Medicago truncatula: one gene and its partners. The main gene of each other region encodes a partner of the protein of the gene in region 2 in a complex. Links are inferred from orthologs where the notes say so. Each region holds a gene or a part of one and is shown on either strand. Other genes may lie near its edges. The genes, in order: sister chromatid cohesion 1 protein 3, sister chromatid cohesion 1 protein 4 and sister chromatid cohesion 1 protein 2.

Evidence for each region.
Region 1: sister chromatid cohesion 1 protein 4 (region 2) and sister chromatid cohesion 1 protein 3 share a complex: the UniProt entries of both Arabidopsis thaliana proteins name them as parts of the cohesin complex. The link is inferred for Medicago truncatula from reciprocal best matches to the Arabidopsis thaliana genes SYN4 and SYN3.
Region 3: sister chromatid cohesion 1 protein 4 (region 2) and sister chromatid cohesion 1 protein 2 share a complex: the UniProt entries of both Arabidopsis thaliana proteins name them as parts of the cohesin complex. The link is inferred for Medicago truncatula from reciprocal best matches to the Arabidopsis thaliana genes SYN4 and SYN2.

Annotation. Positions count from the first base shown.
Region 1 is NC_053044.1:390,331-401,369, forward strand, and holds the start of sister chromatid cohesion 1 protein 3, read right to left. Parts: upstream 4,769-11,039; 5' UTR 4,643-4,768; coding exon 4,519-4,642; intron 3,087-4,518; coding exon 2,822-3,086; intron 2,700-2,821; coding exon 2,653-2,699; intron 2,570-2,652; coding exon 2,520-2,569; intron 2,390-2,519; coding exon 2,322-2,389; intron 2,127-2,321; coding exon 1,777-2,126; intron 1,700-1,776; coding exon 1,489-1,699; intron 1,378-1,488; coding exon 1,247-1,377; intron 1,158-1,246; coding exon 625-1,157; intron 243-624; coding exon 200-242; intron 74-199; coding exon 25-73; intron 1-24. UniProt on the Arabidopsis thaliana protein: May be involved in sister chromatid cohesion during mitosis.
Region 2 is NC_053048.1:37,440,362-37,451,066, reverse strand, and holds the start of sister chromatid cohesion 1 protein 4, read left to right. Parts: upstream 1-5,830; 5' UTR 5,831-6,318; coding exon 6,319-6,442; intron 6,443-8,665; coding exon 8,666-8,927; intron 8,928-9,283; coding exon 9,284-9,381; intron 9,382-9,496; coding exon 9,497-9,546; intron 9,547-10,705. Other genes in the region: mitochondrial proton/calcium exchanger protein, read left to right, coding at 1-77. UniProt on the Arabidopsis thaliana protein: Involved in sister chromatid and centromere cohesion during mitosis.
Region 3 is NC_053048.1:11,360,988-11,372,459, reverse strand, and holds the start of sister chromatid cohesion 1 protein 2, read right to left. Parts: upstream 4,731-11,472; 5' UTR 4,600-4,730; coding exon 4,482-4,599; intron 3,370-4,481; coding exon 3,114-3,369; intron 3,026-3,113; coding exon 2,988-3,025; intron 2,902-2,987; coding exon 2,855-2,901; intron 1,988-2,854; coding exon 1,929-1,987; intron 1,819-1,928; coding exon 1,022-1,818; intron 897-1,021; coding exon 779-896; intron 462-778; coding exon 325-461; intron 255-324; coding exon 1-254. UniProt on the Arabidopsis thaliana protein: May be involved in sister chromatid cohesion during mitosis.

The DNA of each region.
Region 1 (11,039 bases), on a different chromosome or scaffold from region 2:
AAATAGTAATAAATCGATAAGTACCTAGTCCTCCCAGACAATGTATCAATACTTCTACTTGTACTTTGTGAACCTGTCATTAAAACGTTTACGTCAACTATAATATCACTGTTGCAGAAACTCGCTATCCAATATTAACATAGCATGAGTAAAATACTGTCATGAATCAAATAGCAGATGACATGAAAATAGAACATACTGGCTGTGGCTGGTGTACTATCTTCTTCGAGAAACCAGAGGTCCTACAATAACAAAGGTTGATAAGATATTAGATTACTTGAAATGCTTCAATTCAACCAAAAGCAAAACAGTACAAGGATATTGTGTACAAGGTAGAACATGCAGGATAGCACTGTGATAGTTTGATAAGTATGAACAGAAGAGAACGTGTCACACGAAAATATTCATTAAACCATGGAACGAAACGGAGACCAACAATATGTCATAAGTATATCCTTACCTATCATAAGAGAGCAAAAAGATGCAAGTATAAATATCTCATTCAATTTTTTTTCTCAACTCATGTAAAAATGCTAACTAGAATAAAAGTTTTATGCTGAAATGGAACATAATTCATCAAGTGAGATTGTACAGAAGTATTCATAAAAAGGCGTTAAATCTTACGTCTTTTCCAGCAGAATTGATAAATTGATTAGTATCTGAAAAGTCATGGCTCTGCAATATGTTATCATGATATGTGCTAGAAGTTCCAGTTTCAGATGCATGAGCTCGAGGTGATGTTGCACCATATGGTATGTCCATTCCCTCAGAAACCGAAGTAGGAGTCGCAACACCTCCTTTAACAGGGCTTCTATAAGCACTTGGAATAATCTGTTCAGTTTCTTTACTTTGAGTTGGGATAGTGGCAGGTTGATCATCAGCAACGTCACGAATGTGTTCAATATCTTCCACACCAGATGCATTAACGATCTCAGGTGCATCTGTTATTGGCTCATCAACAACGATTTCAGGTGCATCAGTTGTTGGCTCGTCAACAGCAATTTCAGGTGCATCAATTATTGGCTCATCAGCAACTTGATTAATTGGAGGAGGAGTAATAGTAGTATTATCCGGATGATCTTCCTCAGAGATGACCAAGTGAGGTTTTGAACATATATATTCCCTTCTTTGTATGTTTAGAAGTTCATTGCATATTCCTGAATAAGAAGCCACAAGTTTCAATTGAGAAATTCATAAGGGAATGCAAGTACCAAAATTTTCAGATTGAACGATAAAGAACAGCTACCTGTAAATAAAGGCTGGTCAAAAACACCCTCCTTGAACCGTTTGCTCTTCAGTTCCCATGCACCCAAAGTAGTGACGTCCCTTCGCCTCCGTCGTATGTTACGAGTATCATTAAGGGCTCTCTTCATGACTCTATAGAGGTATCCCAACATGAGCAATGAGTATGGGAAAACCGTGCATTTCTACATGTAACTATATGTTGCAGGACACAAAAGCAGTTGAATCAAACAATGAAAAAATTACCTATTTGGTAACACTATGGGGTCATCATAGAATTGATTTCTCTTCCTTACTCTTTGAGGCCTCTCGCCCTGACCCTGACCCTCCATTTGAGGGACAGGACCCTGTCCCTGCTCCATTTGATGGGTAGAACTCTGTCCCTGCTCCATTTGAGGGGTAGGAAGCATCGCAGCATCGAAAGAACAACTCCTAAGAGATGGTTCAGAAATTGGCCCTGAGATTGAGTACGAAAAAATCAGTTATAAATTTATATGATTCATATGTAAATGTAAGAGAAAGGTAAGCACTGACCTCCATGAACTTGTCCATCTGAGGCACCACCTTGAGAAGCATCTGGAGTTGGTGGTCTAGCTGGTTGAGTTGGGGGGGTTTCAGCATGGATCTCAGGAATCATTTCAGGAGTCTGATCCTTTTCATGAACAGTTATATCGATATCCATATCTGTTGGAATATTTTCAACAGCATCATTGGAAGGATCACGAAGACTTTCCGGTGGCAATGTCTGTTTTGTAACGGGATCCTGAAAGATATGATTGTTATCATCACTAGTATGACTGGTAGTATGTGACTCTATATGGGAACTTGGACCACCATCTTGAACATCCACTACCCTTGTCGACGATGGAGATTGGGGAATAAATCTATAAGGACAAACAAAGATGTTGGTTCATAAGAGGAAACAGAAATGAAAATGCAACTAAACACCAAAACCAACAAAAAACTTACTCTTCTTTGGAATATATCTATAAGGACAAATAACAATGTATTATTCTATTGGTTCATAAGAGGAAACAGAAATAAAAATGTAACTGAACACCAAAACCAACAAATCTTACTCTTCCTCATTTGGTCTTGCCTCAGAATCTGGTAGCGGTTGTGCATTTGAAGGACTAAATGGTATGTCCTAAAAATACAAGAAAACAAGTAGATGAAATAAATTTCTAACTCAAAAAAAAAAAAAAAACATTATTCAAATTAAAGTCGTAAGTTCTATATATATAAAAGGAATGAGAAGGAAAGGAAAAAGCATGCACCTCATCGAAACGTATAGCCACATAATTATCCACTACAATAGGACTTCGATCTGCACATAGCATTAAAATATTTTAAACTTTCATGTGTTACTTAAAAAATACATAACTAAAATTATGCATCCACTTAGTTAACCTGCAAGAGTAATCTCATCTTGACTCCTTATGTGAGCATCCTCATACCTAAGACATAACCAATTTTATATCAGTTGATTAAAAAAATTGGTAATAATATGAAAAGATAAAAGAAAACTCAGTTGTATAGAGATTTTGATAATAGTATGAAAAGATAAAGGAGACTCTACCCGTTAAAATCTATTTCATAGCCTAAGTTAAGCGCATCAAGGTCAAAAGTGGCTGGCATGGTAATAGTATGAACCGGTGCTTGCCTAGCATCCTCAGGTAAAGTATTATTTGATACTGAAGCAAATACTTTGTACAAAACAGTCCGAACAAGATTGCAGTCGTTAAGAAGGTAATCAACTTTTTTCGAATAAATACGAACAACACCTAAGAGTAGGTGAGCTGACATCCTCAATGCAATGGGAACACCAGGATCCATTATATGCTCTAAAAGTAACATTCAAGATCAATGTCAATCACTACGTTAATCATTACAACAATATTGAAAAACATTGTAGAAAGCAGAACCTCTATACAATTGCTTAAAAAATGAAATTTCAATAAAAAAAAAAAACTAAGCTGATAAAAAACAGATTGGGTCCAATAAAGGATGAAACTAGCTATGACATAAAATCTGGGAACAAACCGATCATCCGGTCAAAAAATGGCAGTTCAGGTGATTTCACCAGTTGGACCACTATTTCTTTTGGGATTTTATTTAACAAAACACACTTATATTTATAACCAAAGCTCCACACCGATTATATTGTGAAAATTAAAACCCTGCAGAATAACATTGTCCATCATGAGTGACCGCAAACCCAGATGGAATTTTATCTGATTTTGAACAAGCTACAAACTTTTCAAGTTTGAGATTATTAAAATGTCTACAACAATGTCAACAGATATTGTGGAAAGCAAAAAACCTAATAAATAAAATCTCTAAATGCAAGTTTAGAAGAATAAAACAAAACTATCATACAAACAAAATCAACAAACAAAATTCAATAATTAAAATTCATAAATTACTAACTTCAATAACTTCCAAGGTCCTCAATTGGCACAAACACCCCACCATTCACAAAAGGAACAAATACACAAGGAAAATTAAAACCCAATAGAGAAAAAAAAATAAAAACTATCAAACTTTGAGAATAAAAACATTCATAAACATCCTCACCACCCCCACAATAGGAACTAACAGACTCAAAAATTAAGTCTAAAAGAATGGCTCAAAAATCTCAACAAATGACTGAAAACCCAAGTTTTGATAAACTTTGAGAACAAAAAATTATTTTTTGTTTTCAACCAAGAAAAAATAAATTTTTATATGAAAAATTAAAACCCAATAGAATGAATAACATTACCCCCTCAAAAAATTTCAAACCCAGATGGGTTTTTGACAAAAAAAAAAATTAGTTTTTTCTATTCAATCATAGTAAAATTAAAATACATTAGAATGAAGAACATTACCGCTAAAAAAAATCCAAAAACCCAGATAGGATTTTGAGAAACTTTCAAACTTTGAAATACAAAAAACATTTTTTTTTGACAAATGAAATACAAAAAACATATAATTCAATCAAGAAAAATTAATTTTTTTTATGAAAAACTAGAACCAAATAGAATGAGTAACATTACCCCCAGAAAAAAACTCAAAACCCAGATAGAATTTTGACAACAAAAAAAAATTATTTGTTGTTTTCAATCAAGAAAAAAATAAAAAAAATATGAAAAATTAAAACCCAATAGAATAAACAACATCAACCCTCCAAAGATCACAAAACCCATATAGGAATTTGAGAAAAATTTAATCTTTTAAACTTTAAGATGAAAAAAAAAAATTGAAAAATTGGGTTTTGAAGTAAATGGTACTTACGAACAGTGGAGGGAATATCAGTAGAAGCATACTGAGATTTCTTGAGTCTGTGTTGAAGATGAGCAGCGATCCAAACCGTTGAGAGTGGTCCTTTTCGCGCCAAAAACGTTTGAGAGTAAAACATTCTTCTTGTTTTTCTGTGTTGATTTTGTTGAAGAATTTTCAGAGAAATTAGGGGTTTATAAGAAATTAGGGTTACGATTGGTTTTATTTATTTAAGGAAAGTTTTTGGCGCGCGATTTTTGATGAAATTTTGGTTTTTTTGAAGTGCCGCTTTTTATTTTATAGTGTCGTGTAATCGTGTCATGGAAGTTGTGTGGTTGTGTTGTGTTGGATACGATTCGTGTGTGGGTTTGTAACAAAACACCTTGGTTCATCCTTAATTTACGATAACTACCATTGTTATATTTATTCAATAAATATTCAAATTAATATTTATTTAACAAATTCAGCCAACTATGTTTATGTTTCCGATGACACTATTAATAAATTCATATCTTAATTTCAATAACATTGTTAATATAACATTATACAAAGTCCGCCAACAATAAAACTTACTCTCTCCGTTCTTTTTTAATTGTCGTTTTCGTTTCTATTTAACCATCGTTTTGATATTTTAAAAGTATGATTTGTTAATTATATCTTTTGTCAATTACTCTTATCTTTTTTAATAAAATTAATTAATGCTTTATATATTTGGAAAATTAAATTTTGTTTTTTTTAAACAAAGTTTGTTTCTTGTTATCCTAAAATTTTAACAAAATTTTGTTACCTATAATAATGATTGAATAGTTAAAATTTTATAAATAAAATGAGCAGTAATTGTTAAAAATTTCAAGTGCAAAATAAAAGAACATATTTGGGAGAAAAATAAAATAAAAGACTGCATGAATGTTCAAAAGGAATAAAGAGTGAAAGACTCATTGGAACGGCTGATGATATAGTTGAAGATGCATTTGATGAGATAGAAGAAAAATATTTAAAAATTGACAATTGTTTGTTATAAGAGAGTGCAAAAAAAAAATGTTGGAGAAAAGGATAGTAACCAACAAATGTTTGTTACCAGAGAAAGATAACATATTAAATTTGTTGGAAAGAGAAAGTGTGTGCAAAAAAATAAAAATATATTGATGGATTAAAATGAGGTATAACAGGAAGAAAAGATTAAAAAATACACTTCGCTATTTTTGTGTTAATATTATAAAACGAACCCTTTAAAAGGAACGTAATAAGTATTTTAGAAGAATTGTTAAAAAGATATAATTGGAATAATTAAAAAAGTTTAAATGAGTTAATATCTATAGCTCACGATTATGATAGACTTCAAAGTTCAACAATTGTTAACAAATCTCTAAAAAATTGTTAACAAGTAATTTTATTATTTTATTTTATTATAAAAGTTCTTTAGTCCTTAGGCAACTTTTTGGAGTCAGAAAAGATGTTGCAAATTTCCTTTCTAATTTTTTGTTCTTTTTTTAGAAAATGATTGTGTATCTTATATATCTTATTTATGAATGTTCTGAAGTGTCCTCGTAAGCTTAACTCGGTTGGTAGAGATAATGCATAATATATGCAAGAATCCCGACCACCATAAAAAAATGTTGTGAAGTCTCTTCGACAAGTTTTTTGAGTCAAAAAAAGTTGTTGCAAATTTTATTCCTAATTTTTTGTTCTTTTTTATTTATTTTTAGAAAATGATCGCGTATCTTATCTTATTTATAAAAAAAATTAAGTCTCTTGGACAACTTTTTGGAAAGAATATGTTACTTGTCCTCGCAATCTACCTTATTGACCTTATTCACAAAAATTTGTGAATCTTCTCGACAATTACATAGATCATCCTCAATGGTGAGGTCTTCACCATTTAAGACCTAGTATCTAATAGGTACCTTCATTGAGGAAAAAATTGGAGGTCTCTTAAGACCCAAGGTCTCACTTAAGACTCTCATTCTTAAGTGGACCTCACACCACTTTTTAATAAAATAATGATTGTTGAATTGCTTTTGTTGAAACGTAAATGATAAAAAGTTATTCCTAGAACTCATTTAAATATTTTGTTAAAGAGTCTCTATATAAATGGTTGAGTACCTCTTAGATACTGTTATTACAAAATTACAAAAAAAAATCCCTCCTCAAATATACATCAGTTTCTCCAATTCCACAAAGACCAAGAAGTTACCATAAATATACTCGAACAAGATATGTTAGTTGTTGCATTCCCTTTATCTCTACATGTTCTAAAAGATCCACTCCTTCGTCCCACTCGAGAATAAAGCAAGTGATATTTTTAGAATCTATTAATCGAAACCAAATTTGAGTAACATGCATACAAATACAATCACGAAGAATATATCACATTGACTCGTCACTCCTTCGTCACAGTTATTGCATGCATTAAGGATATCACATACCCTCAAAGTGTTATCGATCACTACAAAAGAAGACTGAGCGTGGTGGATTGCATTGTTCACCATAAAATTTTACTTGTCAAAACCAAGCATGATTTTTTTTACCATCACCAACTTGCCATAAAGTGTTTTGATGAAAACTTTCTCAAACTAAGGCAAGAGCTTCTGGTGAGGGAAGTCATAATTCTGAACCCACCATGAAGTTAAAATAATAGTCACAAGAAAACGAGGTTTAGATCGCGACCCTTTTAATTTTTTATCTTTTAAACTAAACTTTAGAATGAGAATAGACAAATATGATTATGAAGCATGGAAGTGCACAAATTCAATTAAAGTGATTTGGTGTGTGATATAAGTTTAATGATCTAAATATATAAATAAAGAGTAGGGATAAGCGAGTAAAACACAAGATAATAATGCTTCACTGAATGTGGATTAGTTCAATCCCCACAATTTTTAATATGATGCTTAAGAATGCTTCTCCGCGCCTTCAACTTATGATTTTGATGACATTTACGTTGTATTCTCAATGCCTCGACATGCTTACACAAGTTTTTCACATCCTATTCAGACTACTAACACTCACTTAATCCTTCTTTACACCCCAAAGAAGATTAAACAAGTTCTTACATAAAGATAAATTCTAATTTCACTGTGTAGAATTAGTATGATTAAAAAAATACACTTAGAATGATATTGATACAAAGATGCAGTGTGAGTGTTTGAGTTTGTTTTCTGATAATTAGTGTCTCATTTGTAAAAAAAAAAAAAAATTGTTTTAAAATGAATGACCCTTTTGATTCTCAAGACATTATTAATTACTTCTTTTTCAATTTTATACTCTAATTAATAATCCATCCATTTCAAAACGAATGTCATTTAAGGTTTCTGCATACATATTAAAAAATGCAATAAAGTTGTCTAAAAATATAACCCTTTTACTAAACTACCCTTATTAACTATTGATGTATTTCCCATAATAGAATATATTACTTTGAATGTAACATCCAGCTAAATTCTCGACAGACCGCAGTATCAGTGAACGTGTCAAAGAAGAAATATTATGAAGGGTTAATTATTTGGGGACTTCTATGGTACACCCGTAAATTACAGTGTACCGGTACCATCACTTTAATTTTTATAAATTAACTATCATTTTTTATGAAGAAAATAAGTGTTTGTTGACATATACTCCCTCCGTTTTAAAATATAAGCAAAATTCACTTTTTAGGTTCATTCATTTAATGGCACATCATTAAATGAATGAACCTAAAAAGTGAATTTTGCTTATATTTTAAAACGGAGGGAGTATATTTTAGAAAATATCATTTTATATAAAAAAAAAAACACCATTTCATTTTTTCTAAAAATCATACTAATTTTTTTACATTTTATTGTAAAAAATACTCAAAATTCTCTATTATGAGTAATAAGAATTCAGAAAAATCAAATTTTATTGCGTTGACGTTTTTGGTAAATAAGATTTAGTTATTATAATTATAGGTGATAGAAAATAATTTTTTCCTACAAAAAATAACTCATTTAACTACTCCCTCCGGTCCTATTTACAAGAGACAATTAATTTTTTAGATACATTAAATAATTTATGTATTTGGTTTAGATTGATCTTGACTAGATACATAAATTATTCAATGTATCTAAAAAGTCAACTTTCTCTTATAAATAGGACCGGAAGGAGTATTAATTTAAGGATTTGGTGTACCAATACACTTAAATTGTTGGGTGTACCATAGAACTTACCTAATTATTTAATGGAGAATATTTAACATACAGTTTCAATTAAACACACATGTTCGGTTATCGGTGTCTTTAGTGTGGCTTAGCAAGACTTTTAATAAAAAAAAGGGCAAGATGGTCATTTCTCCTAAGCACTATATATAGTCATTTCATTTCATCCACTCCATTCTCTCTTTCCAGCTGAAGCCTTTTCCCAGTCTCCTTTCCACCAACTTCACAAGTTTTCCACCCAAGTTATTTTAATCATACATGCAATGTTACCAACTTGATTCTCATCACATATAAGCTCTAAAAATAAGTTCAATGTTACTTTTCACTTCCTCTCAGCCGAGCCCTATTTCCACTTATGTCCATTGGGAAAATTGTAAGTTTAAGCCCTTATGGTTGCTGCATGTGTGTTTAAGCTTTGGTTATGGTTTGTTGGTGTGTAGAAACATGAAATTGAAGGAGAAGATAGCACTAAGGTTGAGTTTAGTTGCTTGAAGCTTGGGGTTTCAAATCACGTTGGGGATGAGCTTGTGTGACAGAATCTCTAAGAGCATAAGCTGACCCCCAAGAGTTGTTAGAGATAGAGCTGGTGTTGTATCTTTTGGCTGTGGGGATTATGGCTGAGTTTCATGAAATAGCGGTAAGCTCAAGTTCTGGTTTTTGATTCGTATATCTTTATGTATGGCTTGGAATTGAATTATTGTTGAAGGTTTAGATTCCTCATTCAATTCCCTTCAGTTTGAACACAAACTTTGTATGATTTGGGCTAGAAACGGATTCGGAAAACGCATTTGAAGTTGGTAAATTCTGCTGGAATTTGGTTAGGGGTTTTGGGACAGGGCTTCACCAAAACGGTAAGAACTCTCTTGCTGTAACTTCAAATCACGTGAACTTTGTTGCTATGGTTAGCTAACGAAATTCCCGACATTTTGGTATCGGTTTCATGATTTTAGGTTCAGCATTGAGGCCTGGAGGAGAGTTTGAAGTAAGGGGACTGATATGGGTTTTGTGTTGAACCCAAGGAATCGAGTTGTTTGTGATAAGCTATGGGCTAGGGTTTGGTGTAGAAGCTTAGGAGCTTGAAGCAAATCTCAGTAAATACATGTGAGTTCTTAGTTAGTTCATACCATTGGGTTTGTGTGTGTGTACTTTTGTAAGAACTCATGCTATGTTAGTTTATGAATTAGGTTTTATTAACCCCTTTGTGCCATGAATTGCCCAAAACTATGTTAATGTTGACATGCATTTCATATTCTATGGTTTTATGCATTCTGGATGGATAGTGTGCAGTAAGGGACTTGATTTTGAGGTTTTTAAGCCAAAATACGTGTTCTGCAAATTCTGGGCTGAAGAAACACGCCATACGCGAAAAACTCGCTTATCGCGTGTAAACTCCAGCAACAACGTCGGCTCGTTCTTAGGCCCGGCAAGGGCCGTCCGAGAGGCCCGTTTTGTGCAGTCTTTTATAACATATAAACCCCTCAATTTCCAAGTGTCTAATGTACAATCCAAGTTAAGCTTTTAAAAGGGAAATGCATGATGAAACATTAACATTGTTCGACAATGAATGGCACACGAGAGTATATGATACTAATCATGCCGGGTAGTAACCTAACCTCTAAGCATTGGGAAACTCATAGAGCCTCGACTTAGATAGTCGAGAATAGCCATGTTACTATGTAACCTAAACACGTCAAGACATGTATCAATAAGAGCAAGCACGTAAGTATTTACCGCTATACGGATAGATTACGGACCCATGGTAATCATTTCAAGTAAGTATAAGTTAATAGCCCTTTATGTATGAATAAGACTATGTAAGTATGAACATGTCGTCTCTTTCCGTTATCCACGCCAGGGGATACGAGAGGTTCACGTTAGGGGAACGGGATACACTCTGCAAGGTAAGACTGCACGGCATTAAGAGGAGTCCGGTGTTAATCTCCGATGGGAATTTCACCGGTTATGTCATGAGACTAAATTCTTGGGTTACTTCACTCGGGATTAATCCGTAAAACGAACCAAGATAACAATGATTGTTCAACGCTAACCTCTAACAAAATATGAATGATTCATGCAACATGTATATGATAGGATTATGTTATGACACAGATGTGTATATGCTCTTGCAACATGTTCATGATGACACATTGTTGACGATATTAGTCTTCCCCAGTCGTCCAGTCAAAAATATGTTATGTATATGATATGATTAAGCCATGATGTTGACGATATTCAGAGTTAGGGGTCTTAGTTTCCCTTGACCTCCATGGCATGTAGAGCATATAGCAAGACTTGTAGACTATGATATGTAGAAGATCATGACGATCTTAGTTATGCAAGATCGTTTAGGTATGCAAGATTTCA
Region 2 (10,705 bases):
TATTGGTGGAAGACATTGTCAAATTGGGCACCCAGAAGAAAGAAGATGCCGATAAAGACGAAGTAGGAAGATCGTAGTGTTTATTTGTGAATTTTGTCATGTTATTTTTTAAAATGTAACCATGAAGAATAATGGTTGGTATGTAATCATGGAACCCCATGCCCCCAAAATTTATAAGCAAAAATGGTTAGGTTCATACCGAATATAAGGTTAGAAAATACGAATGATTTTTTATTTTTTTTTAAGTTAAACTAGAGTATCGAGATTGGTATCAGGATAATCAAACTTGAGAGTCGAGAGGAGCACACTTAGATGAACAAATTTAATTGATTTTTTTTTATAGGCAACAAGTTTAATCGACGAATTTTTCATTAATTGTGTTGTCAAACAAGGATGGTTGCCGATGAATAGTGCAAGCAAAACTAAAGAAATTGTTGTGTCCCATAGACACAGTAAAAAGCCAAAAATGCTTATGTTTTAATCGGCCGGAAGTTACAAACCGCGCATCGGAAGATAACTTCCAATACTCTACTTTCTGCAGGAATAAGTTGTGTTTGTTTTAAGTTTATCAAATTTATTTCTAGGAATAACATTCCTTGGAATATAAAGATGAAAATTTTATTGCAAGGTATTTAGGAAAAATATGTTTGGTTAACTTTATAATATTCCTAGGAACCATAAAAATAGCGATTATAATAAGTAACTATTTATGAATTTATTCCCATCTCCCTAGGAACTTTATTCCCACCTTTTTCCTTGGAATTTTTTTTCTATTCCCATGAACATTTTATACCCGGGAATAAAATTTAGTAAACTTGTAACAAACATATGCATGTATGTTTTTATGATTTTATTCCAACGAATCTACAATTATAACTTGAAACAAACACACCATAAACTGTGAAATTTAGTAAAACATTAAGAATTGCCTGCACCTTAAGTATTGTTCTATTTTTATTTTATTTTTGTATTTCTTTCAAGCATATGTATGGACATCATAGAAATTGTTGCACTCATCGTAAATTTGATATTTTAAGATCAATATTGCCGGAAGATTCATTCTTCATTGGATTTCATGTTGCAATAGGTTCTTTAAGTTAAACTGAGCTATAGAAAAACTGGTTGTTGCTTAGTTTCCCTCGTCGAGCTTCCTACTTATTTAGAAAATGCTATCTAGTGTTTCCGGACATTAGTTAAGAAAATTAATATAAAAATTAGAAAATGGTAAAAGTAGAATGTTCAACTTGATAAAAGCCAAAAAAATTGTTGTTTTTAATTAAAAAAAAAAACTCTATTTTTTTACTTTCTTAACTAGTGCTTTGAGAACACTACTAATTAGCAAGGTCCTTATTATTTTCACTAGTGTTTGTCTGGAGGAGCTCCGAATGGTCCTCAACTAATAGATATTGACAGTTACATCGTTTAAAATAAGAGTATTTTTGACATTTTAGAGGATTTGTGAACAATTTAAAGGACACTAAGGGTGTGTTTGGTTTTGAGAAGAAAATGAGAAGAGAGAAAGAGGTGAGAGAGAGTATGGAAAGAGAGAAATAGAGTAGATTTCACATAGTGTTTGGTACAAGAGAGAAAAGAGAGAAATAGAGGAGAAAGAAGTGTGATTAATTTTTAAAATGACTGAAATATCCTTATACAAAAAAGTTAATATACAAATTTATTTTATTTGAATTTAACTTCATATAAAAATAATAATACAAAAATAATTAATTTCTTACATATAAATTAATTAACTTATTTTCTTAATTAATTATTTAAAATATTTTATTTTGGTCAATTAAATCAATTAATAAGCTAAGTGGTGAATTTTAGTAGTTTAATTATATATATATATATATATATATATATATATATATATATATATATATATATATATATATATATATAATAAAAGAGGGATAGAGTTGCATTTTGGTTTGCTTTCATTCACGACCAGCTAAACCAACAAAAAACTTGAAAACATAATTGATAAAATAGTGGCTCCATATGATCAAAAGCAAAGAGAAATATGGAAAATAAGAAAAAATTAGCAGGTATTATATGTCTTCCCTGTCTCTCTTCTCAACCAAACATGAGAGATTAGCTATCTCTCCCCAATTTCTCTCTCCCCTCTTTCTCTCTTTCTTATTTCTTCTCTACCAAACACGGTGTAAGCGAACATTTCCAAAACTCAGGGGCCATTTTGAGAATTTGCTATTTTTACTCAGCTCATTAAGACATTTGTCACTTTTAAATCACTCACCAATCATGTATTTTAAGTTTGCTTTAGAAAATTTTCCATTATCTTCTTTGATGACAAACTAGTTTATAGTCACGCTTGGCATGACTATTTGAAGTCTTTTTTACTGTACCATCAAATTACAAAAAAGTACTATCAATTTCTATGATTTGAAGATCATTCACACCAATTTTGTAGGACATGTATATGTTTGGGAGGACAATAATCACATCATTGACTAAGTACCATTTTTTTAAGGAAAATACTTACATGATGTGTCTACACACTGTTCACACGGTTCCCTACTAATTTAAAATAAAACTGCCGAAAACTGTATCAACTAATGCAACCAAAAATTGTTTAAACGATACCGTTTAATGAAAAATCATTTGAAGAACCGGCTGAACAGCATGTATGGAACTGTAGGTAAGTATTCCCCGATAGCTATGTGACAAATCAGCTTGTGGGGACCAATTTCTCAACTTCCCTTTTTATATTAATAAAACAAATATTAAATTCGTATTTTAATTATTTATTAATTTAAGTTATTTTAATTTTAATTTTTGAATGACAAATATTACTAGTTAATTGTTAGATTAATGTTTATTTTCTACCAAGAGCATTCAATTTTTTTTAACATTTATTTTAAACTAGTTGAGCTACCTTTTAAGTTTTTATAATTATCCAAATCCAATATAAATAGAAATTATCCTCCCCTCATTTACTATGCAACAAAACTTCTCACCCATCCCATACAATCAAAATTATTTACGAAATTATACTCACAATCATACATAGATGTGTTAGAATTTTTTGTCCAATTATATTTCAACGGACATGTTGAAAGGACAAAACAGAAGGTGTTGCATTTTCATGCAACAATTTATCCTTGTTAATCGAAGAAAAACATCAAACTGCATAGACTTGTCCAATGTATCCAGACAAAGATTCAACCAATCAACTTAAATAAGGTGTCAATCTTGTTTATTGATACCCTACAACTCTTGTTCAAAGAATTGTTTGGTATGAGTTGTTAAATCTTATTGGAGATGGAAACTTTCCTACAATGTTTGAAATGTTCACGACTTGTAAACATCTTGGCATTTCAACAATGGCGGTTTACAAAGGTTTGGTGGATGTTCCCTGTGACGAAACCCAAGAAGAGCCACCATATACTAAACCAACACTTTTTTCATACCCTCGCTCCATATCCTTTTATCAAAAACACAAACAAATCATCGCTCCATTTTCTCTTCATCGGCACACTGGCCATCAGAATCCACCCATGGTATTGACCTTAACTCATCATTATGTTTGAACATCCCAAATGATATTGTTCATATTACTGTTGGAGTTGGTGTCCACGACAAAGAAGTCAGTGATATGTGAGAATGAAGATGACATTCTTATCCAACACGTCATCAATGACAATGAAAACAAAGACTTTCACTTCTTTTACCCTCCTTCACACTTTTGTAATGTGACATTTAGAGACATGGAATACATTGGTGATGAGTCTGTCTTATCCATGTCCCCACATAAAACCACACAGAATTTTCTCAATCTCGTCACAAATAGATTTATGAATCTTCATGTATTGCATATCATAATACAAATTAGAGCAAATTTAGAATATTGACTATGTTGGCTAAACTCGAACATTGTTGCTACCAACCAATTTACTTGTTTTGAATTTTTTCGCACAATGTGATTAAAATGACATCAGTTATTTCCAATGATATGTTTGCCCCCATATATTTTTCCAAATTGTTAACTTTAGAGAAAGCAGTATGCTGTATAATATCATATTGAAGTTGATTAACAACATTTTTGGAGAAAAATATGTGTTTTTTTAGTGTTAATATTTTGACTAGTTGCTTGACATAAAAGATGAAGGCAATGCATAACCTAACAACTTACAAGAAGGGACAAATTTAACCACAAAAGAAATGACAATGTGGTCCATAAAAAAATATCATAAGAAAAAGTCACAAACTTCGTGGTAGAACACCTTGATACCACTAGATGCAGTGGCAGATCTTGAGTTATTTTGTTGGAGGTGCCAAATATTTGTGGAATAAATATTAAACAGTTTCAAAAACATATCGATATAATGAACTAGTGTGATTGTTCTTTTGCTTGTTTTTCATGTGGGGGGTGACAGTTCAACTCTCATTAGGAACATTTTTTTGAACTTGAACAAATATATTAAAAATACAATGGAAATATAATATGATAAGGGCGAGAGGATCAACACACGACCTCCAGCAGATTGGAAGATTTTCAAACCAACGCGACAACCATAATTTAATTGACATGTGATGCATAATATAAAATTTATTGATATGTTGGGGGTGCAGTGGCTCCCATGGGTCTCCAAAGAGATCCGCCGCTGACTAGATGGGTTGCCTATTGTACCTATGAAATTTGTATGTAGAGGGTAGAGGTGTAGAATCATATAAGTTAGCAAGAAATCACATGTTTAGAAGATCATAAAACTACAAGGGCCACATACATGTGCATCAACAATGGTTTCACAAGATTGTCGACAATTATTTTCGACTTTCATTTGGGAAAAACTTCCACAAGAAATCATCGCTCTTCGATAGTATCTTCTAGGAATTATTATTGATATCGAAATGATGTCCTTTAGTGAGGATATTTATTTTTTTAAATGACATATATTAGTATGTCAATTGTTATATTAGTTTTTTTTCCTTTATTAAAACTATCCATGTTGTTCAAAGGAAGTTTATCTTCAAACGTCTCTTTTGAAGTTTGGAACCTTGCATCAAGGGATTTGCTTATTGCAAGCCAGTTCGTTAAGTTGATCGAACATGGTTGTATGTTAAGTATCATGAGATGTTACTAATTGCAATTGTTCAGGATGTGAGGAAGAATGTCATTCCATTAACATATACCATTATGGATGATAAGGCATCTGATGAATATTTTTTTTTTCTTTTCTTTAAATGTTTACAAATGTTGGTTTCACCCCAACCCAACCTTTGCTTGATTTCAAGTAGATATGAGCCGATCAAAAGTGTTATTATGCGTGTAAATATCTGATGCATGGTCTGTTTTCTTTATTCTACCATTAGTTAGACTTCATATAGTTTCAAGTAGACATGAGCTGATCGAAAGTGTTTTTTTTATTTTTATGTCAAGTAGCTTAGCAGCTAAAGCTGACACATAGGGAGTATTTAGAGTTCGAACTTCAATCATTGCATATAATATGCAATATCCCTATCAATTGAGCCAAATTTACTAGAATATAGCGGATCAAAAGTGTTGTTAAGTGTGTAAACATCCGATGCATTGTTTTTGTTCTTTACCGTTAATTAGACTTCATATAATGGTACTCGTGACCAAAATGGGAATTGCGACACAAAAAAAGTTTACTACAAGAAAAGGAAATACAACTGATACTAATGTAGAAAGTGGAAGTGGAAACATAGCAGTAAAAGAAAAAAATGAAACAAGTGTAAGTAAACGTGCATGTTTGTCTCTCAGTCACTACGTTAACCCAATCAGACACTGACACGACGACATACCAAACACTAATATGCTTCACGACTTCGATTAATTATTAATTTTTATTTCAAATAAATAAAAATTAAAACCGAACCAAATCTCGATCGCGCTCTTCACACAATCATTCTTCATTTCTTTCAAATTTCAACTCAATTTTCAATTTCACCGATTTTCCCTCAAAAAATTTCCTATTTTCTCGTTTTCCCCCAACAAATTCTTCCCCAATTCTCACCCTAGCTGCAAATTAGGGTTTCTCAACTTTCAGCTTCAAATTTACACTCTTCACATTTTCGCTTCGTTTTTCTTCGATCTTCAGCTTCACCTGTTACTAAAAGCTTAATTCTCGCGAGTTTATTATTTTTCTGTTAGGTTTTGAGCTATTTGGTGTTTGGTTTGGTTGATTTTGGAGAAAGTGAAATTAGGGTTTGTAAAGAGGGGTTTTACGAAGTGGCTATGATTTTTGTATTTTTAGGTGTGTTTGTAGATGGGGATTGAGATTTAAGCTGTGTTTGGTGTTGATTTTGGGAAAAAGTGATTCTTTTTAGGTGAATATGTTTTACTCTCAGTTTATTTTGGCGAAGAAAGGTCCACTTGGGACTATATGGATAGCTGCACATTTAGAGAGGAAGCTCCGAAAGAATCAGGTGGCGGATACGGATATTGGCGTCTCTGTAGGTAAGTTCGTTAGTTAGTTTGTTTATATATTGATTTCGATATTTTGATTCCCTGATATTTTAGCATGATTAGTGAGGTAGATATTTATGATGGTAGTTAATTTTTGAAAACCCTAGTTTCTATAGTGTTATAAGCACACTGGTCTTTGCCGCTTCCTGATCCACTCGCGTCAAATTTGAACTGTTGTCGTTTTATTGGCTGTTTGGATTGACAATATAAAACATTGTCGTTTGCGTAAAGAACATGTCTTAATGTTTTAAGTTTGTCGTCAAAATTGCATTTGACTTGAAGTGGAAAATGTTGCTTTTGCCTTGTAGGTCAGATTTGAACTCTTGTGGTTTTATTGTATGTTAGAATCGGCAGTATTAAACATCGTCGTTTGCGAAAAAAGCATGTTTTGATGTTTTACGTTTGTTGTCAAATCCACGTTTGAGTAGAAGCGGGAAGAATGTTGCTTTTGACTTGAGCTTTGAACCAGTTTTCATTATGAACTTACCCTTAGTGGAAATGTTATTTAACATAAATTAGTTTTCTTCTAACTTAACACGACTAAAATCAATTTTGTAAAGTCAAGATGATTCGAATTTAAGTTTGACGAATGCTCATCCAATCATATACTTAATCTCCTGACAGTTGGTTACCGCGTAGTACAAATTAATAATTATACAACTTTGACCATTTTGTAGTGTAAAATCTTGGTTACTTGCAACTCAAGTGATTGAAGTATTTCCGAAGATTTTATGGGCAAAGTTTTTGGGTTTTTCCCATGTCATATGTTAGTAGAGTAAAGAGTTCCCCTCATATCCTCATGGACCTGTGGTGCTTTGCTAATGGTTAGACTTGTTGACATCATCCTTAGGGTCGATAGGAGCATAGGATTCTAATAATACGTCGAGCTCTAGGGTGTTGTTGTGCATATTTTTAACATTAAACATCATTAATGATTTTATTTCTGTGGGGATACTGGATATGTTATCCTGCTTTGTTCGTGTATTTGCTTTTTTTCCCGCTGTATTTAAATCATAAATTGTATTCTATCCTTTTAAAGAATGACATTATTAATTCAAACTAATTTGTATAACCTTTGTTGATAGTTCAGAGTGCTATGAATACTCTAAGATATAATGGTATATTATTCTTTGTGGAAGTGGGAAACCAAATTTTCTGAAGTAAACCTAACTAGAGTGGGTTGAGGTATGGTACCTGATTGATTATCCACCTAAAACGAAGGATACTGCCCGTTATCTCAATTGGAGGTTAAGATAATGGATTCTCTTTTTCTAGCTTTGGATTTTTTTTTTTATTGTCTTCTAGGTAGAGAAGTATATCATTAGAGGTTAGAATAAAATTGATTAAAGGAACGACAAGAATAGAAAATGTTGTAAAATGAGAGCTCAAAAGTGAAAGAAAGAATAGATGGACAAATATTCTCAACAATAGAGCTTTCCAATCTACTCCAATCTACTTGTATGTCTGCTGTAGACACCCCCAAAAGAGACCATAAGCTGTGCACAGAGAGTAAAATAAAAAACATTGAATTGCACAACAGATTTATTGGCTGAAATTAAATGCACAACCATTTTCCACGAGGAAAATTCCTCAAGGAACAGTGTAATTGCTGACTTCCCAAGAGTCTCCTCCGTAGTCATAATGAAGCCCCTAAAGTTTATTTGAAGAAGTTGTTCTAGTTTAAGATGGCATACCCAACCGACAACAAAACACTTAAGTTGGTTTATTCCAGATTCTGTTTATCAAGGCAGAAATGGAGTGCAATGGCAACACTAGATCGGTCTATTTCAGATTGATCCTGCTGCAGGATAGTGTAAAAAAGTGAGCAGCTCTTTCTGAACTAAAGGCTACCTTCCAAATGAAAGACTTAACCTTGGCTGTGATAATTGTTCTCAGTGAATTTACGCCATGCAACTTGTTTTAATATCTGTAGTCTGATTATAAAAAGCAAGGCAAGGAATAGTTATGTGTCTGTACTCTGTATGCAGTGAAGAATTAAGGACTACCTATTAGCTAATGCTTGCATGAAATATTTGTTGTTGCCCAAATTTTGTTATGAGCCCTCTGGAGGGGATTAATTCCAAATTATAGGGGAATTGATATTCCTCAGTACGTTTGACATGCATGTGCTGTGTTTATTGTTGTCTTCTTTTGACTACGTATAATTGTTTCAGTTTATTCATTATTCATGTAGTCACTTTTATGAATGAACAGATTCCATTCTTTTTCCTGAAGTACCAATTGCACTCCGTTTATCCAGTCATCTTCTGCTTGGTGTGGTAAGAATATATTCTAGAAAGGTGAATTACCTTTTCGATGATTGCAGTGAAGCCTTGCTTAAGGTAAAGCAAGCTTTCCGCTCCGCCGCAGTTGATTTGCCACCAGAAGAGTCCACTGCACCTTACAATTCCATCACCTTACCCGAGACTTTCGATCTTGATGATTTTGAACTGCCAGATAGTGACATTTTTCAAGGGTAAGTTCTATAATACTTGATTGTATGACTTCATGTAGCTCCAGCTGTTGTTACTGCAGCAACATTTTTTGCTTAATTGAGCTGATATTTATCTAAGTTAATCTATTTTGTTTCATTTGAAAGATTGTTCGAGATTTATATGCTCTTATGTATCAGCTATTACCTGGGTATTTTCAAATGATTGATAGAAACAAATTTCGAATTAGTTACATAATTTGGTTTTAAGTTGCAGACCTTGTATTTTCTTGTGTTTTTTCCAATTTGGTTATATTAAAGGTGATTTCATGTAAGATGGTTTCTGTGGAAGAGTTATAGGTTTATTAACAGAAGATTATATATGTTTTGTGAACTTGCAGTAACTATGTTGATCGCCATGTCAGTAGTAAGGAGCAGATTACACTGCAAGATACTTTGGAGGGCATGGTTTACAAAACATCACAGTTTGGATTGGATGGTTTGTATTCTACTTTACCCTTATCTTTGTACTGGCCACTTGATAGTGAATTTTAAATATAAAATAACGAAATCTGTGCTTATAAGCAATGATTGACATCAAGCACATCTTTCAGAGCGCTTTGGAGATGGCGATGCTTCTCAAATTGGTTTAGACCTTGATGAGGTAATTAGCATTTGTTTGGCACTCTGCATGGTGTGGATTGCTGAAATTGAAATACAAATATTGTTTCAAGGCCCCAACATATTGATTCTGACGTTACAATTTTGTTGTCAAGTTATGAATAGAAGCATAGATGTATCATGTTGGTGGCACGACATCTGAGTCACACACACACACACATATATATAGGGGACATATCTAGTGAAAATGACATTTTATATGAGAATGATAAGAATGAATCTCAACCATCAAGATTAAAATGGATGGCTCATATTAAAGCATTTAATAAAGTATCTCACGTGCCAGTTGTCTATCTCAACTGTCTTTTTCGTCTGAGTCTTTTGTTTCATCTCCCTTCCAATGGAACAAGTCTACTGTTCCATCTCTACTTGCTTTTTAACCTTACTCATGCTTGTGTTTTATATTCAATTTCTCTTCCATTTGAATAACCATACATTATCATGAAGAGCCATGCCAATTTATAAATTATTCAAAAAGTTAGTGTAAGTCTGTTAGGATCCAATATGAGGTGGTGTTTTAAGTAATTAGTAGGTAGATAGTTAGGTTTAAGTAGATTATTAGTAAGTGGCCTATTAGGATCAGAATTAAATAATAAGAGGCCCATTAGGGTTAAATACTAGAATGTTCTCTTTATTTGTATGTAAAGGGGAATTCTTTAAGAGTTTTAGAGTAGGATGGAATAAGTTTTCTGTTTAGGGCCAGAGTAGGATTCCTCTCTGAGTTGAGTCGGAGCTTTGCTCTGGGAGTAGTTAGAGAAACTAGGGAAGTTTTATTAAGAGAGAGTTTCTCTAACTACTCCCAGAGCAAAGCTCCGACTCAACTCAGAGAGGAATCCTACTCTGGCCCTAAACAGAAAACTTATTCCGTCCTACTCTAAAACTCTTAAGAATTCCCCTTTACATACAAATAAAGAGAACATTCTTGTATTTAACCCTAATGGGCCTCTTATTATTTAATTCTGATCCTAATAGGCCACTTACTAATAATCTACTTAAACCTAACTATCTACCTACTAATTACTTAAAACACCACCTCATATTGGATCCTAACAAAGTCAGTGACCACCATTTCGATTTTCTTATAATTTTTGAACAACGTTGGGAGAAAAAGAAACATCAATTCCAATCCCGTCCATGTTTTA
Region 3 (11,472 bases), about 26 Mb from region 2:
TTTCACATTTGGGCACAAAGGAGGTGTTTCTGGAGCAGCTGCTGTGTGATCCGAACTACCACAAGTTTGAGACTGAGACACATCTAACTCCCCTATAGTTTCTGAGAACCTTGGAGGAATTTCGATACGGTCTGGAATGCGAACAGCTCGAGATTCTGACACACCTGACTCTGGTAGAGTTTCCTTTATCTTAAGAGAGTTTGGAATCTTCATTTTCTTACTTGAAAACAAGGACTTGAGCTTTGCGGAGTGGCCTGCAGAAAAACAAGGTTAGTAAGATGTAAAGTTTATAACAAAAAGAAAAAATGATAAATTCAAACTTACAAGTAAACAGAGATTCATTGAATCTATCCAGAAGACTGGAAAGCTGATATTTTCTGTGTTTATCAAGCAAAGAGAGACCTAATGGTCTTCGGACAGAGACCAAGTCACTTGCATCAAGTATGCTCCTTTTGAGTACCCTGAAATGGATCAAAATGCAGCGTGTTCAGTCAGAGTTCAAAGTAACACTATCTTGAGGGCAAAATGAAGACTTGAAAGTCCTAAAAAGAACTGAATTAATAAAAACTCAAGTCCAAAATATATATTAGAATGTAAGAACTTCAGATATATAAAACTATCCTTTTGAACTAGTCCTGTGTTCTAGGAAGCAAATAATAAAAACATTTAAATCTCAATGACATTAAACAACTTCAGACATAAGAATGGATAGCAAAAGAGCATGGTTGAAAAGAATAATAGGTAAGAATATTTTCTGTATTTATTATCTATCACATACTCAGTAGGCAAGACCATCGTTTTATCAATAACAAATTTTCTTTTCCTTGAAAAGCGAGCAGATTCGGTTGCAGTTGGTGTAGGAATAAGCTTAAACTCCGACGTAGTAGAAGTAGAACCTGCCAAAATAGAATGTTGAGTACGAAAAAGAAATAAGTAGAATAATGAAGTACATACGAAAAATGAAGAAAAACATTCAGTAGTTGCATTTTCAAAGATTCTATAAAATAATGGTTTTATAAACCTGGTTTTGGCCTTCCGATTGAACCACCTTGAAACTTAGACTGAGGAGTTGGATCAAGAATTGTGGACTCTGCAGGATTAACACTAGATTGTCCATGTTCAAATGAAACCTTTTTTTGAACTTCTAAATTTCCTTGAAACTTAGACTGAGGAGTTGGATCAACAATAGACTCTTCAATGAGTTCTCCGGTGCACTCTTTGACAACAGAAGACTGGTTGTGAAGAAAATTTTCATTTTCTTGGAAAGCTAATGTTTCATCAACGCCAACATTTTCCAGATCCATTTGGCATAATGATCTTAATGATTCCATTGCCATATTATGCTCGATACCAATTTGTCGAGACTCATTAAAGGATGCAGAAGGTAAAACCACTTCCTTCTGTGTTCCCAAAAACATACTGATATCTGTTGATTCCTCTTGAGAGATTCTACTCTCTTCATGGAACTCGTCCACATTTTGACTGGATACGCGGAAAGCTAGTGTTTCATCAACGCTAACATTTTCCTGATCCATTTGGCATAACGATCTTAATGATTCCATTGCCATATTATGCTCGATACCAATTTGCCGAGACTCATTAAAAGATGCAGAAGGTAAAACCGCTTCCTTCTGTCTTCCCAAAAACATACTCTTATCTATTGATTCCTCTCGAGAGATTCTATTCTCTTCATGGAACTCGTCCACATTTTGACCGGATATGCGGCTTTGCAATATATCCTTGCTTGCCAGTAAATTTGTTGAACTACTCGAAGGAAAAGCTTCGAAGTCAAAGTTCAGCAATGGAGTTTCAAGAACACTGTAATATGCATATCACAAAATCAATAAGTTTGATGGAGAAATTATTCATTGATTCTAAAAGATATTCAGCAGCATGAATTCAAAATTTTCAAAAATTGAGAAATGTACTTTTCAGCCATAAAGTGGTCAAGAGAGCAGCTAGTTTCACCCAAACCAAAATCGTCAAACTGCAAATCACAAAAACTAAGATTTTTAGGATTGCCAATCAAAGAATCAAAACAGAACTGTTTCCATATTTTCTAAAGTCATCAAATCTATTGTTTCGTAAAGTTAATACTGTCAACAATATGAAATCAATGAGCTTATAACATATTATGACTTCAATTAAGACGGAATTCAATTTAACTGGGTGATCCAGTCCAGTCATTCAAACATACATGATGACCATAGTTATTGTACAATTATTCAACTCTATTTAATACAAACTTATACCGAATTATATCATATAGATTTTGTAAGAAAAATGTTATTAAATATTTTCTGCCTTTGTTTTTGCTTCATTATTATCACAAAATTCATAATTGAAGTAAAAAGTAAAAAACAATTGCACGACATTGAATGTAGTGAAAAACTATGAGGTGGTTGTCGAATATGAATGTCAAAAGTACCAATTCATTTAAAAGTTTACGCTTTTAACTGGAGATTCAAGCAAATATAGCATCTTGTATGCTGATAGAAACCAACTGGTATTACTAGCGAAAATACAAAAAATCTCAGAATAACAAATTAACAAACTCCTTAACTAACTAACTAACTAACTAAGCCTCTTAACCAAGGTTCTCAAACTCTGAAGTTTACGATTCTAGGCCACAAAATATTTTCTTGAAGCGGGAAGTAATCAATAAGAGCTACACATATATAAACAGGGAAAAGAAAGAGCATTTATTAGACAGACACGATTCAATTGGACATATATTTGCAAAGAGCCAAAGATAAACAAAACAGTTACATTGATCAAGTTAAATGGAAGAAACATCATTCAGATAATCCTCAAAGGATTGATAAACTATAATGTAAAACCATGGAACACGTACCCTCTCCTGAGAAAACTGCATGAATCCCGCAGTATTTGACAAAACATCTGTTTCATTTCACAGTATATTACGTAAACATTAGTACAAGATTAAACATTTACTATGAAATTAAAAAATTAAAACAATTTAATACCTTTTAGAGTGATTTGTTCTGGGAGAGCAGTATGGAATCTGAAATCAACAGAAGACAAGTTATGCAATGCTTAAAACAAAGAAATGTCCCTAACCAGTTAAACTTCAGAAATTAATGAAACCTTACCTGGAAGTATCTTCAGGTGTACCGAGATCGATAGCATCCAAATCAAATGTTTCTGGCATGATAAAAGACATGCGCAATTTCTCCACAGGTGTGTTGCTCTTTGTTTTGATCACAAATTTGTTGATTCCAAAAAGCACCTTGTTGCAATCATCGAGTAGATACTCAACCTGCTTTGAGTATATTTTAACAACACCAGAAAGAAGATATCCGAGCAGTCGATAGGAAACAGCATCCATTTCATGATGCAAAATCTGGTCTGTCGAAGGTAAAATTTGAAAAACATGTTAGCTAGATTCTACATGGAGGATCATAGCTAGAGCTTACAACATCGTTAATAATCTAGTTCAACTCGCTTATAATCCATATTTAAGTTCTCTTTACCGATCTTTAATAATATATTTAGTAATAATCAAATAGATTAAACTAGAAAATAGGATAAGCTAAATCCGATCAAATAACACACCACATCCTATCTAAATAACAACCAAATCCTATGTAATATATCAAATCAAATCAGATATTAACTAATTATAAACTACATTTGATTATATTTTGATATTGCCCTACAGGGAATCTATCAAATTTGACTCATTAAATAAAAGTTAAAATGCAGATGCTTCTCTTAGAATGTATGTTTGAAGCCTAATTGAACGACCTAAACTAAACTCCTAGTCTATGTTTCATGTTCAATTAAGCTACTGTTATGTTTCATGTTCAATTAAAGCTACTTGCCTAGACCTATAATTTATCTGGGAATTAGGTTTTATCAAATATCACAATGTCATAGACAAAAATGTCTTCCACCATTGATTTTCACTGCAGTTTATCCAAAAACATAAATAAACTCAATAACATGAACAAAATTGTAAAACAGTCTCCCTGATCACCAACTTTTTAAACAAAACGATGACACACCAACCAATTAACAAAAAAATACATTCTTTTTAACACAAATTTCCCAAATAATTTAACACAGAAAAAAATCACAAGTAAACACAAAAATGAAGAAAAAAAATTAAACACAAAATTAAATTAAAAAAAAACACTAAAATTCTCTGATCACCAATGCATTCTTTTCTCATTCAATGCCCCTTTTTACCAGAAATTTCCCAAATTAGTAAAACAGAAAGAAAAAAACTAAATTTCTCAAACCACTTACAAACACAGAAGAACATCATAAGTAAACACCCAAAAAAAAAAAAAAACTGCAAAACAACCATTTTCTTGTCTCTCAATGAACCAATAAACAACAAAAACAGTTAAATTTGTAACTAAAAAAAATAAAAAATGTTGTTTTTCCATCATATATTACAAAACAAACTGAAAAAAAGGGGAAAGGGTAAAGAGAAAGAGAGAGAAAAGACTAACCCACAGCAGAAGAAATGTCACTATCCAAAATTTGAGCTTTCTTAAGTTGTTTGAAGAAAAAAGCTGCAACCCACAATGGATTTTTACTTGAACATAACCCTTTCTTAGATTTCAACATTTTCTTCTTCTTCTTCACAAAGTACTATGTTGTTTTCTGTCTTTGAATGAAAGAAAAAGTGTACTATGATGTCACTTCACTCTGCTATGTTTCAGAAAACATTGTATGAAAATAAGAAACGGTCGAGTAAAGTTTGCCACACCAAAAACAAACTACTTATATATCAACTAACCTTTCTCCAAGTTCATGAATCAAACAAAATTTACAATAAAATAATATTATTTTTTATTTTTGTTATAATGACAATTAAGGTATCTACTATCTACTTTGACTATAAAGTGTATTAAATTTATTTTATTTTCTTATGAATAAAATTTCTAATTTTATTTTATTGCTTTATTTCATTTTATTATTGTGTTAATAAATGATTTTGAAACTTATACTCTTTTTATTTTTATTTTTTTGACAAAATTATCCTCTTTTTCATTGTTATCTAAATAATACTAAAAACACATTTTATAACACTTTTTTTTTTTGACACATTCTCTTTTATAGATGTTTCATAAAATTTATATGAAACCCACCAAGTTTGGTGGGTCATATAATCTTTAACGAGTAAAAAATATGAGTCAAAGGAATATAGGTATTGGCACAAAAATCAAAACAACAGAAAGAAAAAATAAAAATATAATGAAAAAAAAAAAAGTTATCATAAAATAGTTGTTCAAATATCATTTATCTTAAAAGAATATTTACATATATTTAGTTTTTATAATGTCATTGTAAACATACATCTGTCATTGTAGACATTGAATTGACAAATTAAATTGTGGAATATGTTTGTATTATTATGTAAATAAAAAAATTATAGAAATAATATTTAGATGACGTATAGTCAATACTTACTTGATAAATTTCAAATATTTTTAAAAGGAAAGCATATGCATTTTTATTTTTTTGAACAAGGAAAGCATATGCATTTATTACAAGGTGCGTTAATTTATTTTATTTTCTTAAAATAATTTTAAATGATTGATAGAGAATAATAATATTATTTGTCAAAAAAAAAAGAGAATAATAATATAAAAAAATTAATATATTTTTTTTGTAAATTAAAAGCACAATAATGTTAAAGAGAATGAAATGTGTTACAGCTAGACTCTAATAATTAATTTGTGCTCATGTATATTAACAAACTGGGGGACATTAATCTAACTCAATAAATCCACACAAAAGTTAATCTAAAAAATCTAAAAAATTTGTGCTCGTATATAAGAGAAAATTAATCTTATAAATTTATGATGTATTCCTATTATTATAAATGCAAAGTAAAATATATCAAAAGTTATATATATATATATATATATATATATATATATATATATATATATATATATATATATATATATATATATATATATCAGTAGGATCTTATAGTCAATATTTTACTTTTATTTTATAAAGTAATTATAAGTTAAATGAATTTACGTGATATAGTTTCAAACATTTTTAAGAGGAAGGAAATTGCATTAATTACAAGGTGCAGTGAATCTATTTTATTTTCTTAAAACTTATTTTTCCTTTTTAATTATTTTTTTACAAAGTTTTTTTAATTAGGCTTTGGTGATAGAAGCTAAATTTAGTTGAGTGATTGATGCTCAGGGATGAACTTTGTCTTTCGGTTGTGGATTCCCTTATTTTTCATGTAGAGTGTTACATATGGTTGTTTTAGGATTTTTTTTAGCAGCATTAAGAAATGCATTAAATTAAAGATTAAGGTAGAAAGGCCAAGAGATAAAAATGTTGAGGAAAAATAAACTTGTTTGGTTGATTGGATGTGTTATTTACAATATATTATACTAATATGTTGTGATCTACAATGATAAGCCTTTGCTCGACTAATTTCGTAGTTTGTGTGTGAAAACTCCCTTGCTGGTGGGATCGTGAGCCCCCACATTAGACTTCAGTTTCTCTTTCTCAACATGATATATTGACAAGGTCCTTTAGTGCACAGCTCCATGGAAATCGTGTCCTCCCCCTCATTCCTCAACGCGGTTTGTGGTGTTATAAACATGGTACACAAGTTTCCCGCATCTTTGTATAGTCCCACTTTGTTTATTACTTAGTTTTGAGGTTTCAACGTCTCACATACTGAGTTAGTGGCCTTGAGAAATAGTCATCTCCCTCGCTCGGCTGCTTTATCATCAGTTAACCTTCAATCGACCGGAAGGCTCCCTAGCCAAATAGTTCAATCGCCTATTTGTCGAGCTCGGTTAACAAGATAATTTATTTAAGTGTAAATAAAAGCAACGCCTAAATCGTATCATTTGTTAACCCTTGATAAATGAGTTTATGTGACACAATTAATAGAGCTACGCGTGAACAATGTCATAATTTCACCTAAAGTAGGGAACTAGTCGTTAGAACCTATTACTCGGCCTATGATATGTCAAAACATTAACTCTTGCCAATTGACTTAACCTAACAATAGCCTTGATTGTCCAACTAATTAACTGATTCACTTTCCTAATCATTAGGTTGTTGCTTAATTAAAGTATCAATGGCCGATATTTTTTTCTCATTTTATTTCCTCTTTCTCCGAAGCAATCTTTCAAATTCCCATCTCATGTTCCCTCGTCTCTAATACTCAAAATGGCTGCCCTGAGATCAATCAAATTACTTTCCTATCCTGATTTTAATCAAAGGTGGTTTCTCCATATAGTTACTCTAAAAATAATACGATGCTCTGGCGATTTTGTGATGAACAGTAATTTACCATCTTCTAGCCTCGTACCAACCACCACCACCATGACCAAAACCACCTCCATGCCTAAAACAAACATCTTAATACCTTGGACATGGTTCACAGATAACACCCAACTTAAGATCGCTACCAAACCACCACCCCAACCCAAACAAACAACTCAAAAAACCTTCGAACAAGCCTTAAACATTGTGTACGAAATACATCTCAGCTTTATTCCAAAACCATGTTTGAAAGGCAATAAAACAGCTACGCAAATCCTTAAGGATGGATATGTCAAATGATTGGAAACATGCAAGAACAATTTACATGCATGCTTGATCTTTCCCAATGGTGCAATCTCTTTATCAATTGTTGCCTTTCATGAAAAGCTACAACCCTTATGGAAGAATCTAGGACGATGGGGAGTAACTTCTCTAGATAAGGGCTATTATGAGCTCTCATTCTCTTATCTAGAGGATGCAAGAAGCGTAAGAATGGTTGTCTCTTGGAACTTGAACCCTGGTTTATTGATGCTTTTTGCTTGAACCCCTGATTTCAACCCTAGTGTGCAGAAGAGTACATCAACTCATGTTTGTTTTTTTCTTCTTCTTTGGTCTAGGTATTGGAGACCAAAGATTCTTTGGGCTTATTTGGTTTATTGGTCCCTTAATTAATTTTCAGTTTTCATTTTGATCCCATAACTAGGCAGACTATACAAGTGATGAGGCCGTTTGGATGTTACTAACCTAATCGGTCGTTAAACTGCACTTACTGGTCACAAGGTGATCCTCACGTGTGGGGTATATACTTCTCAGTTAACTAGGTTTATCCCCTAAAGTTTAGTTGCACCTGTTGGTCACACGGTTATCCTTACGTGTGGGATCTTACCAACTCAAAGGTGATTGAAAGCATAGAATTTATATTGGGTTTCCAAGATTTCCCAAGGCAATGAAGGCCAAGGTTCCTGTATGTCTAGCCATCTATTAATCTCAGGACACTCATAACACACTCTCTCTCGCACTTAGTAGTTCTACAAACGGGAAACTCTATCAGCCTCTACCTTACCAAGGGTTTAAGAGAATGGTTCTGCTAGGCTACAACTTATTTCCTTCAAGCAAACACTTGTTTCCTTAATTATTAACTAGTTACCTCCTTGGTTCAACAGATTTTACTCAATATCAGTAATATCACCTCCTAAGTACTTACTACTAGGTGGCTCAATTGTAGGATTTACAATTTTTTTCATTGACAAGTGAAGCATGCTCATCTCTTAAACTTTCAAAAGCTTCCTTAAGTTTAGAAATTTCAGTTTCTAGTTTCAAAATGGTTTTCTTTTGAGCAATTAATTTCTCAAAATCAGTCAAGGATTGTGCATGCATTTCTTCTATGGAATATTGTAAATCCTTATAAGTAGGTTTATAATCGGAGTAGGAATCAGAGTCGGAGTCGGATAAGGTTACCTCATTTTTAGCTTTCTTCATATGACCCATGAAGCATAAGTCATATTCTTCATTGTTTTCGGTGTCACTGGTATTATAGGTTACTTCATCTTTTTCCCAAGCAATGTAGGCCTTCCTTCCTCTTGATTTTCGGTTGGATCCGGATCTCCCTTTGTCCTTAGCTAGTTCCGGACATTCATTCTTATAGTGGCCTACTTTTCCGCAACCATAACAGCTAACAATTTTCTCATCCTTTTCTAATTCTCTTGCATTTGGCAAAGCCTTCCTAAAGTTGACAAGGTTCTTGTCATTGTGCTTTGGCCCATTTATCTTAATGTATTGGTTGTATCGTCTCACAGACAAGCTCATTTTTTCTTCATTGATTGAATATTCATCGGATTCATCTTCATTTTGAACCAAAGAGATGGACACGGACAAATTGGTGTTTAAAGCAGTGGACTTCCTTTCCTTCTTCTTTGAGTATTCCTCACTAGATTTCAAACGGATAATCTCATGTTCATGTTCCTTTAGCTTTCCAAAGAGTGTGATCATACTAAGAACATTGAGATTTTGCGCTTCCTTGATAGAGATAAGTTTGGGCTGCCATTCCCTTGCCATTCATCTCAAAATTTTGTTAGTTCAGTCTTGATTTGAAATGTCCTTACCAAGGCTTTGCAACTTGTTAACAATCTGAGTGAATCTCATTTGCATATAGGAGATGGATTCACCTTACTCCATGGGAAAAAATTATATTGTTGAACAAGCGTATTAATTTTTGAATGTTTGACGTCGTCGATTCCTTCGTGAAGGGTTTCCAACGCATCCCACATAGCCTTAGCGATCTTACAATGAGAGACGTAATGATACTCATTCAATCCAAGAAAGAAAATGAGAATGTTTCGCACCTTCAAATCATATTGTACCTTCTTTTTGTCATCATCACTCCAATCGACTTTTGGCTTTTCTAGTGCGACACCATTGGCAACAACTTGCGGTTGGAACCGCCCATTGACTACGGCATCCCACACGTCCATGTCGACCGATTGAATATGAACACTCATGCATTATTTTCAATAGTCATAATTTTTTCCGTCAAAAATAAGTGCTCTATTGTAAGCCCCATTGGCCTCTTTATTTGCCATATCGATAAACTCTTCCGGTAGTTAACCGTTAGTGAAGAGACCAAACTCTAGATACCACTTGTTGGTCTATATGGTCAATAAGGATGTGTGCTAAAAGGGGGTGAATAGCGATTTAAAAATGTTACGGAGTTTTGGCGAAAGTGTTTTGAAAGATATTAACTTATTGGAAATATGTTTTGAACAATCACAAACTATGACAAATTGTTAAGACTATGCACTAATAAGATTTACAAGAGAATTGAGAGTTTCACAAGCTAAATCTTATTTCAATCAATTACTAATAATACTTGAACAATTTGCAAAACAAGACAATTTCAAAACCAAGCATATAAGAAAATATAACAAACTAAAAACCAAAAACACAATGTATATGCAATTGATGAATTGGCTAGGAATTGAAACTAATTGATCCAAGTGAAATAGTGAAAACCTAATTCAAGGAATTAGGCCAATTTTAACCAAAAAGAACTTAGATCAAAATCAATTTATATTATATCAGCTAATCAATTTAAGCATATACAATTATCAAAATTAAAGAGGATAAGGAAGAGAGAACGACACCGAAATTTTTATAGTAGTTCGCCCTTTTGTCCTTGTTTTGGGATGCTCTACTCTTCTTGGTGAAAAACACATCCACCAAGGACTTCCACTAATAGTAACAATGTTGAATTACAAATGTAATTACAAAAGTTCCTTGAAACTATCCTAGTTCTTCAACCCCTATGTAACCACTCCAAAAAACTTCAAATACCCTTTGAATTTGGTGCTTCTTGATGTCTTTGAATCATCAATCACTAGTGTGACCCTTCAAGCTCTTCACTTAAGCTCTTTGATGCTACGTCCGACAATTGGAACCCCTTGAACACAAGAACAATTAGAAAGAACCCCCAAGACCTTTCGAGGTGGAATGAGATTATTCACTTCACTTTAGAACCTTAATTATGCCAAATCAATTTCCTTGAAAGAACCAACTTACAATCCCTATAGCACCTTAGCAAATCTTATGACTCAAAGAACAAAGCGATTCTAAGAAAAAAGTGTTTAATGTTAAAGAATGTATGAACAGTGAGTTTTTGAGACCTAGATAGAATAGAAATGATTCCATAATTTGAGTGTTATGAGGAAGTGAGTATATATTGAAAAGGAGGGTAAGTGCAAATTTTCTTCCAAAAACAACTATGTGAATTGATTCACTAAATCCGTGAATCAATTCAGACAACTAAAAGATAAAACTGAAGATAATGAAGATACTATGAAGATTGACACATATCATACAAGATTTGAATCGATTAATAAATCCCAGGATGAAGGTTGATACGATTCAAACTGATATTATTCGAATCAAAGCAAGTCAGAAAGATTTTATGATACAATTCATGCATTTATGAGTCGATTCATAAGTGATATGATTCAAAATAGCTTGAATCGATTCACCCCAAGTCAGAGACTTTGGGTGATACGAATCAGACAGTAGTGACTCGATTCAAAAGATCAGAAAACAGTTTTAGACAGAAATGAGGTTACAAGGGACACTAGTAAGGTAAGCAAGGAAAAAACATAGAGATGTTGATGAACCATAGTTTTGCTAGGTGCTTTAACAAAATCT